Coturnix japonica: one gene and its partner. The protein of the gene in region 2 purifies or fractionates together with the protein of the main gene of each other region. This does not show direct contact. Links are inferred from orthologs where the notes say so. Each region holds a gene or a part of one and is shown on either strand. Other genes may lie near its edges.

What was found.
Region 1: the proteins of SYNCRIP (region 2) and FAM120A purify together in Homo sapiens (co-immunoprecipitation; 3 studies listed by BioGRID and IntAct, counting the BioPlex papers as one, with this or other methods). This does not show direct contact. The link is inferred for Coturnix japonica from reciprocal best matches to the Homo sapiens genes SYNCRIP and FAM120A.

What each region holds. Positions count from the first base shown.
Region 1 is NC_029527.1:4,485,767-4,494,373, forward strand, and holds the start of FAM120A (constitutive coactivator of PPAR-gamma-like protein 1), read right to left. Parts: upstream 5,123-8,607; 5' UTR 5,066-5,122; coding exon 4,592-5,065; intron 1,045-4,591; coding exon 798-1,044; intron 1-797. UniProt on the Homo sapiens protein: Component of the oxidative stress-induced survival signaling. May regulate the activation of SRC family protein kinases. May act as a scaffolding protein enabling SRC family protein kinases to phosphorylate and activate PI3-kinase.
Region 2 is NC_029518.1:70,016,440-70,024,476, reverse strand, and holds part of SYNCRIP (heterogeneous nuclear ribonucleoprotein Q), read right to left. Parts: intron 7,541-8,037; exon of another isoform or gene 7,518-7,540; intron 7,259-7,517; 5' UTR 7,247-7,258; coding exon 7,099-7,246; intron 6,223-7,098; coding exon 6,104-6,222; intron 5,918-6,103; coding exon 5,810-5,917; intron 3,790-5,809; coding exon 3,676-3,789; intron 3,591-3,675; coding exon 3,414-3,590; intron 1-3,413. UniProt on the Homo sapiens protein: Heterogenous nuclear ribonucleoprotein (hnRNP) implicated in mRNA processing mechanisms. Component of the CRD-mediated complex that promotes MYC mRNA stability.

The DNA of each region.
Region 1 (8,607 bases), on a different chromosome or scaffold from region 2:
AAACAAATCTTACTAGTTTGAGTGAACTCTATTAGCCATTAACTCATTCTTCCACCTGAGACCGCCTGACCAACAGCTATGCCACAGCACTGCAGTGGGAATACAGCGTGTTAAAACTGCCCCATTTCAGCAAAGATGTGAAACTCAACTTAGTCTGATCTACTGTCCTTAAAAATCCTGCACCACTCAGCCTTAGAAGCAGGAGGGTTAAAGAGCCATTCAAACACAGCTGGTGGAGCAGAGGGAAGCTGATCATTCAGATTTTCTGTGGTGATCTACTGAATTTTCCTGAATTTCTGATTCAATATTGATGTGGAGGCAGAGAAGTCCCCGCAATGCAAAAACCTGCACTTCAAATACATTATTTTGAAGACACAGAAGTTCACTTTTCCAGTCTGAAATTCGTATGATTAAAATCAAACCTCGCGCGCAGTGTCAGATCAGAACCAGCAGAACCACCAAGTGTCCTCAATTCCCCTCTCCGCCCCCAACACTGAGAACGTTTTGGCAATGCGGAGCTCTGCAGAATTCTTACTTCCTACTCCTGTTTCCATGCAGCCACAGTCCACATCGCTCAAGGGTCGCTACAAATCGTGGCATCTGCCCGACCTCATTAGAAAATAAAACATAAAGAAGAGAAATAGCATCCCACCTCAAAAGCAGCCTGAATGACTAAAACAAAAGGATGGTTTTGCCGAGATGCTTTGTCAAATCACACACACGCTTTAAAACATTTAATAGGAAATGAAATCACAAGTCTGACTAGTAGCATCGAGTTCCTGTATTACTTTACTTACCTAAAAGAGCAGCAAAAATAGGAAAGCGATTTGGATTCAGGTCCAGTTGCTTGGCAACTTCATGCATTAGATATTGGCTTGTTGTGAGACTTTTCCCATTACGGCTCAGTTTTAGGGCATGGGCACTGAAATAGTATGGGATGTTGCACAATGCATAATCGGAGTCATACGCAACCAAACCATGGAAACCTTTTTCTCTGCAGAAAGCAATTACTTCTTGATGATGATCCTCAATGCTCTGTGCAACCTGTAGTGGAAGACAGAGTAATTAGTGCAAAATGGTAGCACTGATTCAGAGCATGCATGATGATATAATTTGTCTTTCTGAAACTGTAAACGTGTGTTTGAAACACCTGCAGAATATTTACAGTAATTAGAAAATCCGATGACACGGCACATACGGACAGGCTGCAAGGAGTGCTCGGGAGCACAACGCCAAGTGCTGCAGGCCTACACATTGGAGTGCATGATGCATTGCTCAGCCCATCTGAAGTAACTGTTTATTAACAGGAACACTCAAGCTCTAAACACATTACTGCAGCAAAGCCTGTGTTAGCTCCGGGAAACAGACCCTCTGGCTGCGGCTACTCAGCAGTTCCATGCCAAAGTGCCCCACAACAGCACCCCCAGCACAAGATCACTTAGCAAGTGTTATGGCACTGTTCTAACAATAACAAACCACCCCAAGGCAGCAGGGGTGATTTTCTTTAACTTCCAAACACCCATGTGCCATAAGAAGCCCAACTGCTTCCTCTTTCCACCTTCAAATCCCCCTGAGACCATTCAATGCGTTCACCATCTACACAAACAGCATCCAGCAGTTCACAAGTCTTGCACAAACCCAGTCTCACCAGGTACAAGGAACACAGTAAGTTGTACCAGAACAGGAAAGCACAAACTGTGTGCCAAAGCCAATGCACTGTGTGGTGCCAGTGCCAGAGCTGCTGCTGGCTTGCAGTCATGGCCTATAGCCACCAGCTCACCCCAACACTGAGCCTCGTGTGACCACCCACTGCCTGCTGCCGTCTTGAAGGCACTTCCTACCCCAGCACTGACCACAGCCTTGCACACAAGCTGCTCACTCTGTGCTTCTCCCATGCAGCCTCTCCCTTTCAGCAAAGTCCCCAGCACCCCACACAGAGCTGCACCCATTGCCAGGGGAAGCTCATGGAGCTCTATTCCCAATGCTACCTTCCTTATTGAAGTGCTATGAAAACACGACTCCTTTGGAAACATGCTTATGCTGCACTGGTTCTCAAAGTTAATTGTGTTTGAGGATCAAGAGTGTTCATTCTCCCAGTAAACTCCCTGTCCCATGCACACACAGCAAGAACAGCTCTAAGTGCCACACGACCAACTCAGGGAAGGGTCCTGTTATGTATAAATTAAGGCATTCCCTGTTGCTTTTATTTTATGGACAGATCAATTTAACTTACACATGAGCATTAAACCAACCATCAACGAACCACCAGTGCACACCAAGCAAGTTTCTGCTATGATCTCCGGCAGCGCTGTGGGCACACAGCACACATAGAGGAAGCCTGCTCGGATCTGCTTCCTCCTTTCCACGCTCCCCAACCCCCTCCTGCACTCTGACACAGCGCTCCCAGCCCGGAGCCCTTTATGTAACACCACAACTCACACTCCAGTCACCGGGTGGCTGAAAGGAGGAGAGCTGTGTGTCCCACAACAGACAAGCTGTAGCACAAAGCTTGTGCAGGGCAAGAGCCAGGGCCGGCAGCTCTCAAGAGCAGGGGACCAGAGGGTGCAGATGCAACCAGGCAGCCACACGTGTCTGTGATGGAATAGGGAGGGAATTGGAGAGGGTTTTGAGACCAAATCTCATGCAAACAAAGATGCTGGGCCAGAGGGAGAAGTCTGCAAGTAGCAGGCACGTGTGTGTTCCGACACCGAGTATAAAGTCCCAACAAAGTAGGGGAGGTGTTAAGATCTGAGGTGATGAAATATTTAAGTTCTCCCAAACATACTTTCGTGTTAAAAAGCTCCTTGTAGGAATTACTGCCCCTCCCTCAAGCAGACAAACACCAGGTCACAGCACAGCCAGGAGCCCGTAGGATACGTGTTGTCGTTGGGAGGAACCTGTTATTTCTGCATCCTGCTGAAACCATCTGTGAGTGATTTGTAATTGTTCTGGATGGAATACGCTCCTTTCTCGCTCCTCTCTAATTACCAAATGAGATTAAGCCCACAGCCAGTCCCCAGGTCTGCACAGCTCAAATGTTTCCTGCAAGTATGAAAATGAGTTTTGTATTTAAAGTAAATCAGTACTCTCAAATTCAGCTGCTCGAAGTAAACAGTGAGATAACACCGGGATTGGCGATGGAATCAGGATCTGCCTCGTGCATGTGTAAATAAAGTCACCCCTATGTGCAAACAACAATCACACGTGCGAGCTCCGTTTGCTGCGTGCCCACCAGAGGGGCTGCTAGGAAAGGAGTGGGGGGAGAATGGGAAAGATCTGTGCAATAAAGCCAACTTCTAAAGAGATTAAACTACGTAAGAGAAGAAAAACAGAACAAGAATATGATTCAAGAGCAACAGTAGCGAACAGAGAATATTATATCTGCCACCATAACCATGAAATACAGCACCTACCCTGGATGTGAACCAACCCAAGCAGCTTCCTGACAGCTGCACAGAGGCATCAAGCAGAGCACACCATCCCCTGTGCACTGCCAGCACAGCACAGCACGGAGCTCGGTGCTGCCTCACTGCCAACAGCAGCAGGGAACGGCCCCACGCGGCTGGCTCCCATCACACAAACACCACCACCCTCCACCCAGCAAAACTCAACTCCCTTCCATTTTTATATGAGGATTATACAAGAGGCCCCAGCGCTACACATCCTAAAACTGTTTGTGGAGATTAGCAACAAGGCCTATTACCACAAAACGGCAAAGCAGCTAATGCTGCCGCTAAGCCTGAGAGCAAACACGGTGCTACAGGTGACACCGCTGACAAGAGCAGCACTTCAGCATCAAGGAACCGGTGTTTAATGCTGCCTATGTCAGAGCGAGTCCAACGTATCCAAACATCCAATTCCTATCACCATTAGAACAGCGGTTTTGTATTGCATGCTATTTATTGTAGTACTGCGGTAACATTTAGATTTTAGCGTGCATTTTAATGTTACCCAAAGGCCGCTTTCACTAAGGATCTCCACAACAAGCTGAGATTGATGATGCACCCACAACCAGAGCGAGGTTACCACCCTTACTGCACGCTATAACTTTGCGAGTCGGTGAACTCGACTATTTCCCCTCTACAAGAAAACGCGTGGGCCGGGAGCCGCTTCCAAATCGCCTCCGATTCTCAGCAGCGCTTCTACAGCCACAGCTGCGGACAGGCGAGGAAACGAGGCCGCGGCCTCCGGGCCCAGCGGGGCTCCACGGGGCACAGCAAGGCCGCACCCGCTCCGGGCCCGGAGCTCCGAGGCACCGCCCGCCGCAAGTTGGAGCGCGCCGGCCCGGCCGGGACTTGTTGCAGAGCCGCGCGCCGCCGCTTTTCTTTCCCTCCCAACTCCTCGGGTTGAGGAGGGACATTTTGAGCACGCCGAGTCCGGCCCCTAAAGAACATGGTGGCACGGGGCCCGGTCTCGGAGAGGCCCCGCAGCGTTCGCTCGGTGGATCCCCGCGGATCGAGGCCGCCCCCGCGGGCCGACATCTTGCGGTGCCCCGACGGCCGGGCAGGCACAGGGCAGGCCCCGCTGCCATCTTAACGCGGCCCCGCAACCCGCCCCGCCCGGCACCGCTCGGAGCGGGTCCGGGGCTCACCTTGATGTGGAAGCGGATGAGGGCCAGGCGGATGCAGTGCGCCATGCAGACGGGCGGCAGGAACCAGACCTTGGGCGGCGGGGTGCCCTTGTTCTGGACGTGGCTGACGATCTGCTGCGCCGTCTGGCGCTCGTTGCCCTGGCGCTTCACCCACTCGTGCAGCCGGGCCTTCTCCAGGGCGCCGTTAAAAAAGACGAAGAGCTCGATGTTGCCGTTGAAGCAGGCCTTAGCCAGGGCCGCCAGGTAGCCCAGCATGTGGTTCCACTGCCCGCCGCTCACCCAGTCCGTGTAGAAGCCGCCGTACAGCCGGTGCAGGCAGTTGTCGGCATCGATGAGGAGGCGCAGCGGGGTCTGCGGGGGCCGCTGCCGCCCCCCCCCCACCAAGCTGCCCCGCGCCAGCTTCTGCAGCTCGACGGGCACCACGGCGCTGGGGCAGTGCTTCTCGATGTAGTCCTGGAAGCCCTGCACTCCCATGGTGAGCACCGGGCGGCGGCGGGCGGGCGAGCGGCGGCGGGCGGGCGAGCGGAGGCCCCGCGGCGGCGGCGGCGGAGGCGGCTGTGGCTGTGGCGGTGGTGGCGGCGCGGTCCGGGCTCGGGCCGGGAGTTGCGGGCGGGCGGTGGGAGCGGCGGGGCCGGGCGGGCGCTGGAGGCTGCGGGCGGCCGTTCAGCGGGGGGTCGTATGGATCAGGGGGGGGCTCATGGCTGCCGCGGCCGCCATGTGGCTGCTCTCACAGAGCCATGGCTCGGGGATCCGGGCTGCTGCCGCTGCGGCTCCGACTGCCGGGGGGGAGGGGGGAGCGGCACAGCGCAGGAAGCCAACCCGCCGCCGCCGCCGCCTGCAGCACGGAGAGCGGAACGGGCGGGACTTGGCGGCGGCCGCCGCTGCCACTCACCGCGCGGGGTGGGAAGCGGAGGTTGAAGTGGGGGAAGGGGGGGGGGAGCGAGCCCCCAACGCCGCCGCTCGGTGTCTCGGTGTCCGCCGCCCTCACGGCCCCGCTCGTTGCCCTGCCCTGCCCTGCGGCCCCGGCGCGGCGCGGCCCGCGCAGCCCGCCCGCCGCCGCTGTTGCATAACCCAAGCATGCGCCGGAGCGAGGGGCAGCGGGCGGAAGCGGGTGGCGGGGAAGGGGAGGGGGCTGCGCGGGGGCGGAGGATCGGGGAGGGAGGTGGGAGCCCGAGCGGAGCTGTGATGTGCTGTGCGGGGCCGTACGGCGCCACTCGGCCCGGCAAAGTGCCGGCAGCACCGGGTAACCTGGCTGTAGTTGCATGGAATCGTATGAAAAAGGCCCGGAGTTGTGCATCAGCAGTTGGCTGCTCGGAGGAATAACACGGTGCCCAAGCACTGTGTGCTGAGTGTCAGGAACACATGGAGTGTGTGTGCTGTCCATTCACACCCATATTTTATCAGTCAAATTAAAACACGTTAGGAGAGTTGGTTCAGGTTGGATTGGCACCTGAGGTGAATGCCCCAACCTGAGGACAGGGAAGTAGTCAATGGGAAATACGCTTCTTAGTAGAATTCCATTTTTGTAAAGGTCTGAGCGTGGTTCCCGAAGTAAACAATCACGTTATGATAGCATCTAAACAATAAAGCACATAGAATGTTCTAAGAAGCATTCAAAATACGGCAGCACTGCTAATGTGAGGACAGAAGATTCTAACAATTCTAACTACCCCAAAACTGCCCAAAACTTGGTCAGAAGAGCAAGTGCTGCCATGCATGAGGTGCATAGAAAGCAGCTGCTCAGACATGCCTACGCATAATCAACGCTGTGGCTGTGTGAAGTACAAGGTTTGATCACAGACAGCCAAGGGACAGTTACGTGCTCCTTCAATACACTATTCAGAATCAGATCTTTAACCATGTTGTGCTCTTTGAAACAGGCATTTAAGAGATCCACACAGAGGACAACCCGTGCTCAAATTATCCTTAAGAAACAAGCAGTCGCTGCCGATTGAAGGACAAATCAACATGTGGGTACTTATGTCACAGGATATTTAGGTTTGGTGCTCTTAGGAATGACAAGTTGCATAGAAATAAAACATTTCTTAAGTTAACTTCGGTGTTTATTCTTTGTTTGTTTGGGAAAAAGGAAAACTAGTCCAAAGCACCTGAACTCTTAACTCTGTGATGCTTCCCATGGCATTAGATGGGCACAGTGTTACTGAGTGCTGCAGGCTCACTGTGTGTAAATGGATGCAGCCCTCCCTCCTTGGGAGAAAAGAGAAGAGGGAGGTAAACCAGCAGGGGAATACAGAGCTTGAAGAAGTTGTTTGACACAAATATCTGTTTTTTACCTAAGTACATATTTGGCTGGACAAGAAGGCAATGATAAAGCAGTATAATTTACGGAGAGCAAAATTACACAGGAAAGCAGGTAGAATAAGATTTTAAAAAGCAATTAACTGAAGGCATGAAGACAAACAAGGTATTTTTTTTCAGCAACCAGCAGCAGAAAGCCTGCAGGAATCAGTCGGCGTGTGAGAAAATGGCGTAACACAGGAAAGGCACCGAGGAGCTTTTTACTCAGCACAACACATTGCGGTCTGCTAGCGGTGTAAGGGAAGGGTTAATAACAATTATTATTAAAGTCAGTGACTCATTAAACAACCCGAATAGAAGAGAATTAGGAGTGGCTCCCTAGTAGGAAGGAACTGAACAATCGTTAGGAAGAACTCCTAATGAATAACCATGTCAGGGCAAGAACATGGAGATGAATGTTATCATTTCAGTCTTTGTTCGTCTGCTAACGAACTCAGGTCCCACCATGAGATGAATGTGGATGTAGGCAGTGGAATGGGCTATCCAGGGTAACCTTGGTGGGTACGTGTGCCTGGAGGTAACAGATCCATGTATTATTATCCATGAGAAATACTGGTTTGATCTGATTTCCCTTATTGTTTCTCCTCCTCTCTAACCCCGCTTTTCTTGGTTTTCCTCCGCTCTAACCCCGCTTTTCTTGGTTTTCCTCCGCTCTATCCCCGCTTTTCTTGGTTTTCCTCCGCTCTAACCCCGCTGCACGTCATCAAGTTGCTGCTGCCTCAGAACTTCACAGTCCTTGCTGGTGCTGCAGGAGCAAAGTTCCTGTCCCGTCTGCTTGCTGCTGGGTCGGAGGGTGGGCCACAGCTTGTCCTGCTGCAGGGCACTCATGTGCATTCTCACTTCAGCACACAAGGGGTCTTTTCTATTAGTATCTCCATATGCAAATACAGACATTTGGAAGTGAGCATCCGGGAAGTGCTGAGATTCCTGTGTTGGTTGAGATGTTAGCTGCCCTATTTCCCTTTCCTGTAATCTGACTGTAGTAGGGGTAGATTGTATGCAGAGATAAAATGGGCCCTATCTTCTCTCGTCCTCCATCCTTACCTCCATTTTTAGTATGTAAGTTTAATAAGTTGTTTCCTTTTTTCTGCCTTAATAAGTTATTTCCTTTTTTCCTTTGTTTTTCCTCTAAGTTATGGGCATGCCTGCCACTTACCCTGAAATAATGGTCCATCCGTCGCTGTATCTGGCTCAAGCCTTGTACCACAGCAGTTTCTACCAGGTGAGTGTCTACAAAGACCATCTCACTGACAGCTATGAACTGTATCAACTGATTTTGCACCATCATTGCTTGCTTTCCAGCAACCACATAGACTTTTTGCCTTTCTCAAGTTCTCTGTCTCTTAGAGAGAGACAGACTGAGGACTGCTAGCAAGGACTTTAAGAGGTGCACAGTAAATGACTGTTTACTGATTGTTTTCCTCTCTTCCCTCCCAGCTGGCCAAACAGACCCTGAGAGTTCTATGAAAGCTGTCAGTAAATTGTATGTCCCCTCTGCTTATCCACGACACTGTTCTGTTCTGCTTCTCAGGAAGTCCGCTCTCCTTACTTGCTTCATGCAAATGGGTGCTGATGGTGACTGTACAGGAAGAAGACGTGTTTTTTTCCCTCCTACTGGCACATACTTTTGCATTTACCTTAACAGAATGTCTGTTTATCCGAAGTACATTCTTCCCCATTACATTTTTCACTCTTAG
Region 2 (8,037 bases):
TTGGACGGGGCCCTGGGCAACCTGATCTAGTAAATGTGTATGTTTGGTGGCCCTGCCAGGCAGGGGGGTTGGAACTACATGATCCTTGAGGTCCCTTCCAACCCGGGTCATTCTGTGATTCTGTGGTGGCACACACAGGCCCAATTCTGGATTAAGTGCCACAACAGTCAGGCCACAAGATTAGCAAGGGCAGCATAACGCTTTTCTCTCCTGTCACCACTGAATCCACGCCCAAAGCCAACAGAGACATTAGTATCCTGTAGACACTACAGAGCATTCTTACTTTGCTGAGTTCTTCAAGAACCTATTCACAGACGGGTGAAGTAAGGTTACAATCTGGTTCGCCATTTCATTCACTTTCACCCAAGGTTTATTTCTAGTGGTGAACAAGCTGCACTGCTGGGCCTCGCTGGCAAACTGCTTCAGGGGAATGCTTGCATAATTCACCTGTACCTGTACTTTGATCAAACTTCTATTTGCTGTGGTCAAAAAATACTTCAAATTATAGCAGCATAAGGTATATAATCTCCCACAAGCTTAACCCCCTGGTTCTTATTTCCGTGCCTTATTTTGACAGAGCACTGGAACAGGCTGCCCAGGGAGGTGGTGGAGTCTCCTTCTCTGGAGATATTCAAGACCCGCCTGGACGCCTACCTGTGTGACGTGGTGTAGGGAGCCTGCTTTGGCAGGGGGGTTGAACTGGACGATCTCTAGAGGTCCCTTCCAACCCCTACAATTCTGTGATTCTGTGCATGCCCACAGTAATAGTAATCCTTCCAAAATAACTTCCAAAACTAAAAACTAACAACTTCATATGAAACAGCAGGAAGAACTGAGTGTGTGTGTGTATAAAACACAATGCTCAGAGTACAGAATCAGAAGGCAAACCAGACACTCCGATAGAGAAGAGATGCCTGAAAGAAGTCACACCCAACTTCTGACAGGTGGTGCTTGAGTGAACAACACTTGAGATGCCACTTAAGCAGCTGGCAACAGGGCAGAGATGGTGGACTACACACTGGATGAAGTATCAGACATACAATTAACTACTGTTCATATCTTTAGGTCTCCTTGGTATCAAGCCACAGCACCATTCCACTGCTTGTCTGAAGCATATCAAAGTTATTTCAAACAATCCACTATTTTCAGCAGAGTTCCACAGGCATATTTTGCTGATTCTCACAGAATCACAGAACGACCCAGGTTGGAAGGGACCTCAAGGATCATGTAGTTCCAACCCCCCTGCCTGGCAGGGTCACCAAACATACATATTTACTAGATCAGGTTGCCCAGGGCCCCGTCCAACCTGGCCTTGAACACCTCCAAGGACGGGGCATCCACAACCTCCCTGGGCAGCCTGTTCCAGGGCCTCACCACTCTCCTAGTGAAGAACTTCCCCCTAACATCCAACCTAAATCTTCCCTCTTTCAACTTAAATCCATTTCCCCCTGTCCTGCTATTGTCAGCCCTTTCAAAGAGTTTACTCCCCTCCTGGGTGTAGGTTCCCTTCAGGTATTGAAAGGCTGCAATGAGGTCACCCCACAGCCTTCTCTTCTCTAGGCTGAACAAACCCAACTCCCTCAGCCTGTCGACTTGCATTCTCATGCAAGTCACTCCTTGACAACTTGAGCAACTTCTAATACAACAAGCCAGCCAGCCTGCTATGGTCAAGACCACTCAAAAGCTAAACCTCATCTTGTAGAATTTGTCAGAGAGAATTAGCATGAAGACTGAAAATCTGCGCTATCATTCCTAACACTTTTCAACTATTACCCTCAATAGGTATCTAACTGAATGACAAGTAACTGCTTTATCAAAGATCAAGTGTACCGAGGCATTAATTACCTTCCTCCCCTGTATCACTGAGTACAAGACTGAGGTCAGGCATCTGACATGTTACTTCTAGGGAAACAAATGACTTCTCAGACCCTCAAAGAAATATGCTGCATTTAAGCAAAATGCAGCTGAGGAAAAAAACTCTTCGATTAGTAAGGACCTCTGGTAACGTATTTGATTTGTTCCACTCTTTTGGTAAGTCATGTGCACAACTCTGAAGAGTTTACACACATTATAAATAGCTGAGCTGACAATGAAAGTACAAAGAGGTACATGCAAACAGCTGAGTTTTCCCAAGTGTATTTGGATTGTGCACAGGCATACTGAACATTCTTGTTTAAAAAGTTAAACAGCAGATACCTCTTTTTTTTTTTTTTTTTAATACTTCCATGTTTTTGTTTTTAAGACACTTCGATACTTTTTGGGAGACAGTCCTATCTTCAGCCTTATTTGTCTCTATCAATTGGTTTTTATTATTAACGTGCCAACAAGGTAACTTCATTGTCTAAGGTGCACCCTATTAAAGAAGAGAGATTTTAACCCTACTGGGTTTATACAGCATCAGTGTAACTCAGAACGAGCAGGGTTCACACTCTTAGGATCACCTCAGCCACGTCAACGCAGAAGCAACTAGCTCAAAAAGATTCACATCTCACTTAACTAGAAAGACAAAGGGGGAGGGGGTCTTTAAGAATCACAGAATTATCAAGGTTGGAAAAGACCTAGAAGATCATCTAGTCCAACCATCACCAATACTTCCCAGCTAAATCATATTCATCAACACAACATCCAGACGTTTCTTGAACACTCCCATGGTCGGTGACTCCACCACCTCCCTGGGCAGTGCATTCCAATGCCTGACTACCCTTTCCGAGAAGTAATACTTCCTAATGTCCAGCCTGAATCTCCCCTGACGCAGCTTAAAACCATTCCCTCTAGTTCTATCACCGATTACACGAGAGAAGAGGCCAACCCCCAAGAAAAACAAGCTTGCTCATAAGGAGTTGTCTATTATAATACCTCACATCTCTGTCTAAACAGTGTAAACTTTTTAACCCGTGGCTTTTCTGTCATTTTCCAGTCTGTTTAAACAGCCTTAAAAGTGATTCTCTCTCCCCTCAAGTATCTCATGAAATTGTGTGAGTTTAGACACATTTTTCTCCCGTGGTGCCCTCTGCTGGTACATCAGCAAAGCAGAAATCATACAAAGCCCGACCAACTCCTTTGCACTGCAGCAACTCAATCAGCGCTTTCCTCAGAACTCATCCAAACCGTGACAGCTCAGAAGTCACCACAGCTAACACAGCTCTGGTATATAGTAAAGGCACACCGAACTGGACCAAATTTCCTTGCTTTTTTTCTATTCGTTATCCTGTGCCTAACACCTGTCCAGCAAAGATTTACATTCACGATAACACAGAAATACTTTTAAATGCCAAGTGGACATTTGTGAAATGATATAACAATGACACAGCTTAATTTTAAGCATTCAGACATAAGCATAAGGACAACTGCTTAAAAGCCACAATGTTCTTACCAAAAAGGAAAAGAAACAAAAGGCAGAAGAAGAAACTTACCAGCTTAACAGCCTCCTGAGCTGCTTCTTTAGTACAAAATGTGACAAAAGCATATCCTCTATTTAGACCAGTTAATGGATCCATCATCAAGCGGAGATCCCATATAGGTCCGGCTTTCTCAAATAACGGAACAAGTTCATCTTCAAACAAATCTCTTGGAATCTTACCTACAAATATCTACAACAGACACAGAGTGTTGCTTATAAGGAAAAAATACACCCAAGCAATACAAATGCACCTACATAAGTTATCTCCTCCTTACCTCTGTTCCAACAGAAGGCTGCTGTCCTGAATACACAGTATCTGGAGGAGGGCCCCCATATTTTCTCTGTCCTGTAGTTACATCAAGAGTGTAGCCGGTTCTTTCCAAGAGTGCCTGCAAGTAGAAAACCCAACATTTTGGTCTCTTTTCAGTAGCGCGTGGGGACAGGACTAGGGGTAATGGGATGAAAGTACAGCATAGGAAGTTCCGCATGAATGTGCACAAGAACTTCTTTACAGTGAGGGTGACGGAGCACTGGAACAGGCTGCCCAGGGAGGTGGTGGAGTCTCCTTCTCTGGAGATGTTCAAGACCTGCCTGGATGCCTACCTGTGTGATGTGTAGGGAGCCTACTTTGGCAGGGGGGTTGGACTCGATGATCTCTAGAGGTCCCTTCCAACCCCTACAATTCTGTGATTCTGTGATTTTAAAATCACATGGAAATTTGGCTGACTGAGATGTACTTCATTCACAGACAACAGACATGCTTAAAATTCATGTTTAACAGTACTGCTTTGAAATTCTCACAGGCGAACAAGCCTGGTGCTTCAACAAGTAAGTAACTTGCAGAACAATTACTCAAATTGCCATGAAAAGAAACAGTAGAAAATGAGGAGGTTCACATGAAGTTTTCCCCAATTCCTTCATTTTCATACACATACATGCAAAAAAAAAAAAAAAAAAAAAAAAAAAAAGGAGGCCAAGCATTAGAACACTGAGCTTCCCTTTAATTAGGAAGATCTTAGCAGCCCGAGCCACTTCTTGTTTTGGCATGCCCAATCCTGCAAACGTTTATGCAGAGAAGTTCCCTTCACTTAATGAGATTACTCATAAGTGTGAAGCTAAAGAACACATGTTCAACAGCTTACAACTCCTGGAACACTAACAGTGCTCTTTCTGCTTCAGGTATCCCACCACTCAAGTGGTAATAAAACTTCCTTCCTCCTGCAATGCTGTCCCTCCTCCTCCCTTCAATTCCTTGTGGGAAAATACAGCAGTGCAGCACAACTGAGCTTTGCTACCATCACTGCACACACTTACAAATTCGTTACCAACTATAAACTGAAGTTCAGAACGCTGATATCCACAGCAGCTCCTCAGAAAAGTGGCTTTTCTTAATAACTTTGTACAAAGACGAACCAACTCTGCAGGCAAAGGAACTGCTCGCTTAACAACTCAATCAAAAGCTGATTTCACAACTGGAAAATTGCAGAGCAATTTTAAATGGTGGAGCCATCAGCAATAACAGCTACGATACTTTATTTAATACATATTATTGATGCTTTATGTGGCAATGACAAGAACCGTATACCAGCTGTTTAATTATTATTATAATAAATTATTATTATAAAATAATAAATTATTATAAAAAAATCAAAATCAGGAGAAAAAGGGACATGCCAGTTTTACAATCCACATACTTATTTTTAATCTGCATCACATGGATTTTCCATTTTATTCATATAAAGTTAAAGACAAAAGACTGCCTCAACTTTCCAAGATTTCAACTAAACATACTTCTTTGTCCTTTCCATTTGGTAAAGTTGCTTATCACAGTATCTAATGTAAACTGTAGTACACCTAACTCCTGTTACAAGTGTTTCTTGGTATCAGAAGACTCATGCGAAGAAGTAAAGTATTCTTTAAGACAATTTTGACTCATACTATCTCCCTGTTGGGGAGTTTCTCTCTGAACTGAGAGAAGCAAACCAAGCCAGTAGCTAAAGTCATGTACTTGGAACTCAAATAGCTATGCTGACAAGTTTCCTACAACTTCTAACTGTGAAGCTGTCTGACTGTCCCAACAAGCCAATACACAGAATGTAAACCAAACTGCCAAATGCTTTCCATGTTTCAATACACATTCAGTTCTAGTAACAGACAGATTAAGTTCTCTTAAAGACACAACCTAAGATGAAAGCATAAATGAAAGCTTGTAAATAACACAGAATCACAGAATTGTAGGGGTTGGAAGTGACCTCTAGAGATCATCGAGTCCAACCCCCCATATCATAAAATAATCTCTAAGATCCCTTCCTAGGCAAGCACGGTTCCTTAAAACTTAAGATCTGTATCACAATCACTTTGAAAAAACAACAACACAGTCTTTGTAGCTTTAATCTTTTAGTCACATACCTTAATTTTTGCCTCATCTGGTCCTTTGCTAGAATCTGCCACCTTGGTCCCCTGTTTTTCCCTCTGCCTGTACGTCTTCATGACTCCACATAAAAATGCACTTTTGTTCTGCAAGAGATGCATTAATCTTCAGTTCTGCAAACATTACAAACCAGAACCTAATTTTTCCTTGAACTTCCACAGAGCACATTTCACATATGACACATGATTCAGTGAAGAGGTTTAATCAAACCTTTTGTCAGTCTACCAGCAGTTTATCCCTCACCAATTATATTCCGAATTGCTTCATGTTACCTGAACATGTGAGAGATCACTGTCTTTAAACTGCTGTAATACAGAGAGGGCTCCTTCTTCATTAAATTCCCTAAGAGCATCAATTGCTCTTTCATCTAGATCACTATGTGCAACTAGCCCTAGAGAAAAGAAAAAAAAAAATTACTAATTACATTTGGGTAGCAATCTCTGTTTCATCATATTTAACACACCTAATATACTTCAGTGTCCCCTAAACCAATTGCTGGCTAAAAGTAAGTTGCTATAACTAAGAAATCACTCAGTTCCCTAAGTTAAAATTTAAGTGCACTTTGCTTACTTTCATCCAGAAGTATTAAAATCATAAGAATTAGACTAAGAGTTAATGCATTCATGTATTTGAATTCTCATGTCACGCGGGGCAGGTTTAGTTTTGGTATCCTTAAGTTGAACTCTAAAGGATCTATCAAAAACTGACTTGGCTTGATGAGCAACGTACTGTGATGACTGGGAGGAGACTGCAAACTGCAGCACTCAAAGCAACTACAGCACCAAAATCAAGCTTTACTATGCTACTGCCATGCCTGACAGGCAGAATACAATGACAATCTATGAGCTCCAGTACCATGCCACAAAGCATCATTTACATCAGATGATGTCTACCAAGGCTTCAGTGACTTGACATTATCTACAACTACACTAAAAGCTCACAAAGCCCATATCACCTGCTCCTTCTAAGTGTCAGCTGTTGCCTATCCCAGGTAATACTATGCTTATACTCATACTTCTCTTTCCCACCACCCACCCCAAGCAGCTTGGCCCAGACTGCTCTCTGGGAAACATCATGATAAACTAAAACACTGAATGATAAAAACAAACAAGAAAACAAGCACAAAAAAACACCATGTATTTTGTTGAGACTGTAGTTCTTGTACTTCTAAAAACCACATGAAGTTGCTCAGATAGCCCAAAGACAGCAGCAGAAGCCAGTGAAATATTCTAGGACCTAGGAAGGTTTGGCAAGTTTCACTGCTTACCTGCCACGTAAATTTCGTCTAGTTTTTCAGCAACTTTCTGTGGTAAACCAGCATCAAGCAACGTCTGGAAGTGCTCAGAATGGGTAACCGCAGCAGAAGTGTCCATTGGCTCTTCAGTACCGTTCCCATTCACATGTTCAGTAGCCATGTTTCCAGATATCTGTTCAAACGCGAGAAGCAGAATCGTTAAGCTGCAAACACCTTCCAGCAGAACAATTCAAGTGACAGCACGTGCAGCAGCCCACCCAATTCTCGTAAAGAGACAGCGGAGCACTTCCCGGATACTTCCAGCTTCCAGAGCCGCACGGAATTCCTCAAAAGGAGCCTTGACACAAAGGGAAGCCCTAACGCCGCTGCCTGGCGGGGGCGGGGTGGCTCTCACTGCAGGTTTTACACAACGCAGCCAGACACTGACTCACCTCGCCCGCTGTCTCCGTAACGCGCTCCCCGAGAAGCTCCCAACAAGTTCGGGACGGAGCCCGGAGCCAGCGGCGGGGGCGTTAAGCAGCGAACCGCCGCGTTCCTTCACCACCACCACCGCCCGCCCGCCCGCCCCCCCCGCCCCCCGACCCCTCGCGGTCGCGCTCCCCTCCCGCCCGCGCCGCCGTCCGGACCGGGCCGGGCCGGCGTAGAAACAAAGCGCCCGTTCCGGCCCGCACCCTCCCACGGCGGCAGCGGCGGCCGCCATGAGCCCGCTGGAAACACGTGCTCTGCGCGCTCAGATGTCCTACAACTTCCTCCAGTGACCGACTTCCCCCTCCCCGCCGCGCTCCCGGGAGCAGGAGGAGCGGCTCCCCCCCGCCCGCGCCCCGGCCCTTCCCCACCTCTCGCCCGATTCCCCCCGGATCGCGGTTGCGACACCGCGGGCCCGATTTCACCACCGGCCCGGCCGCTCCACGCGCCTCCCGGCCGCGCCGCCGCCGCCGAGCCGCGCTTCCC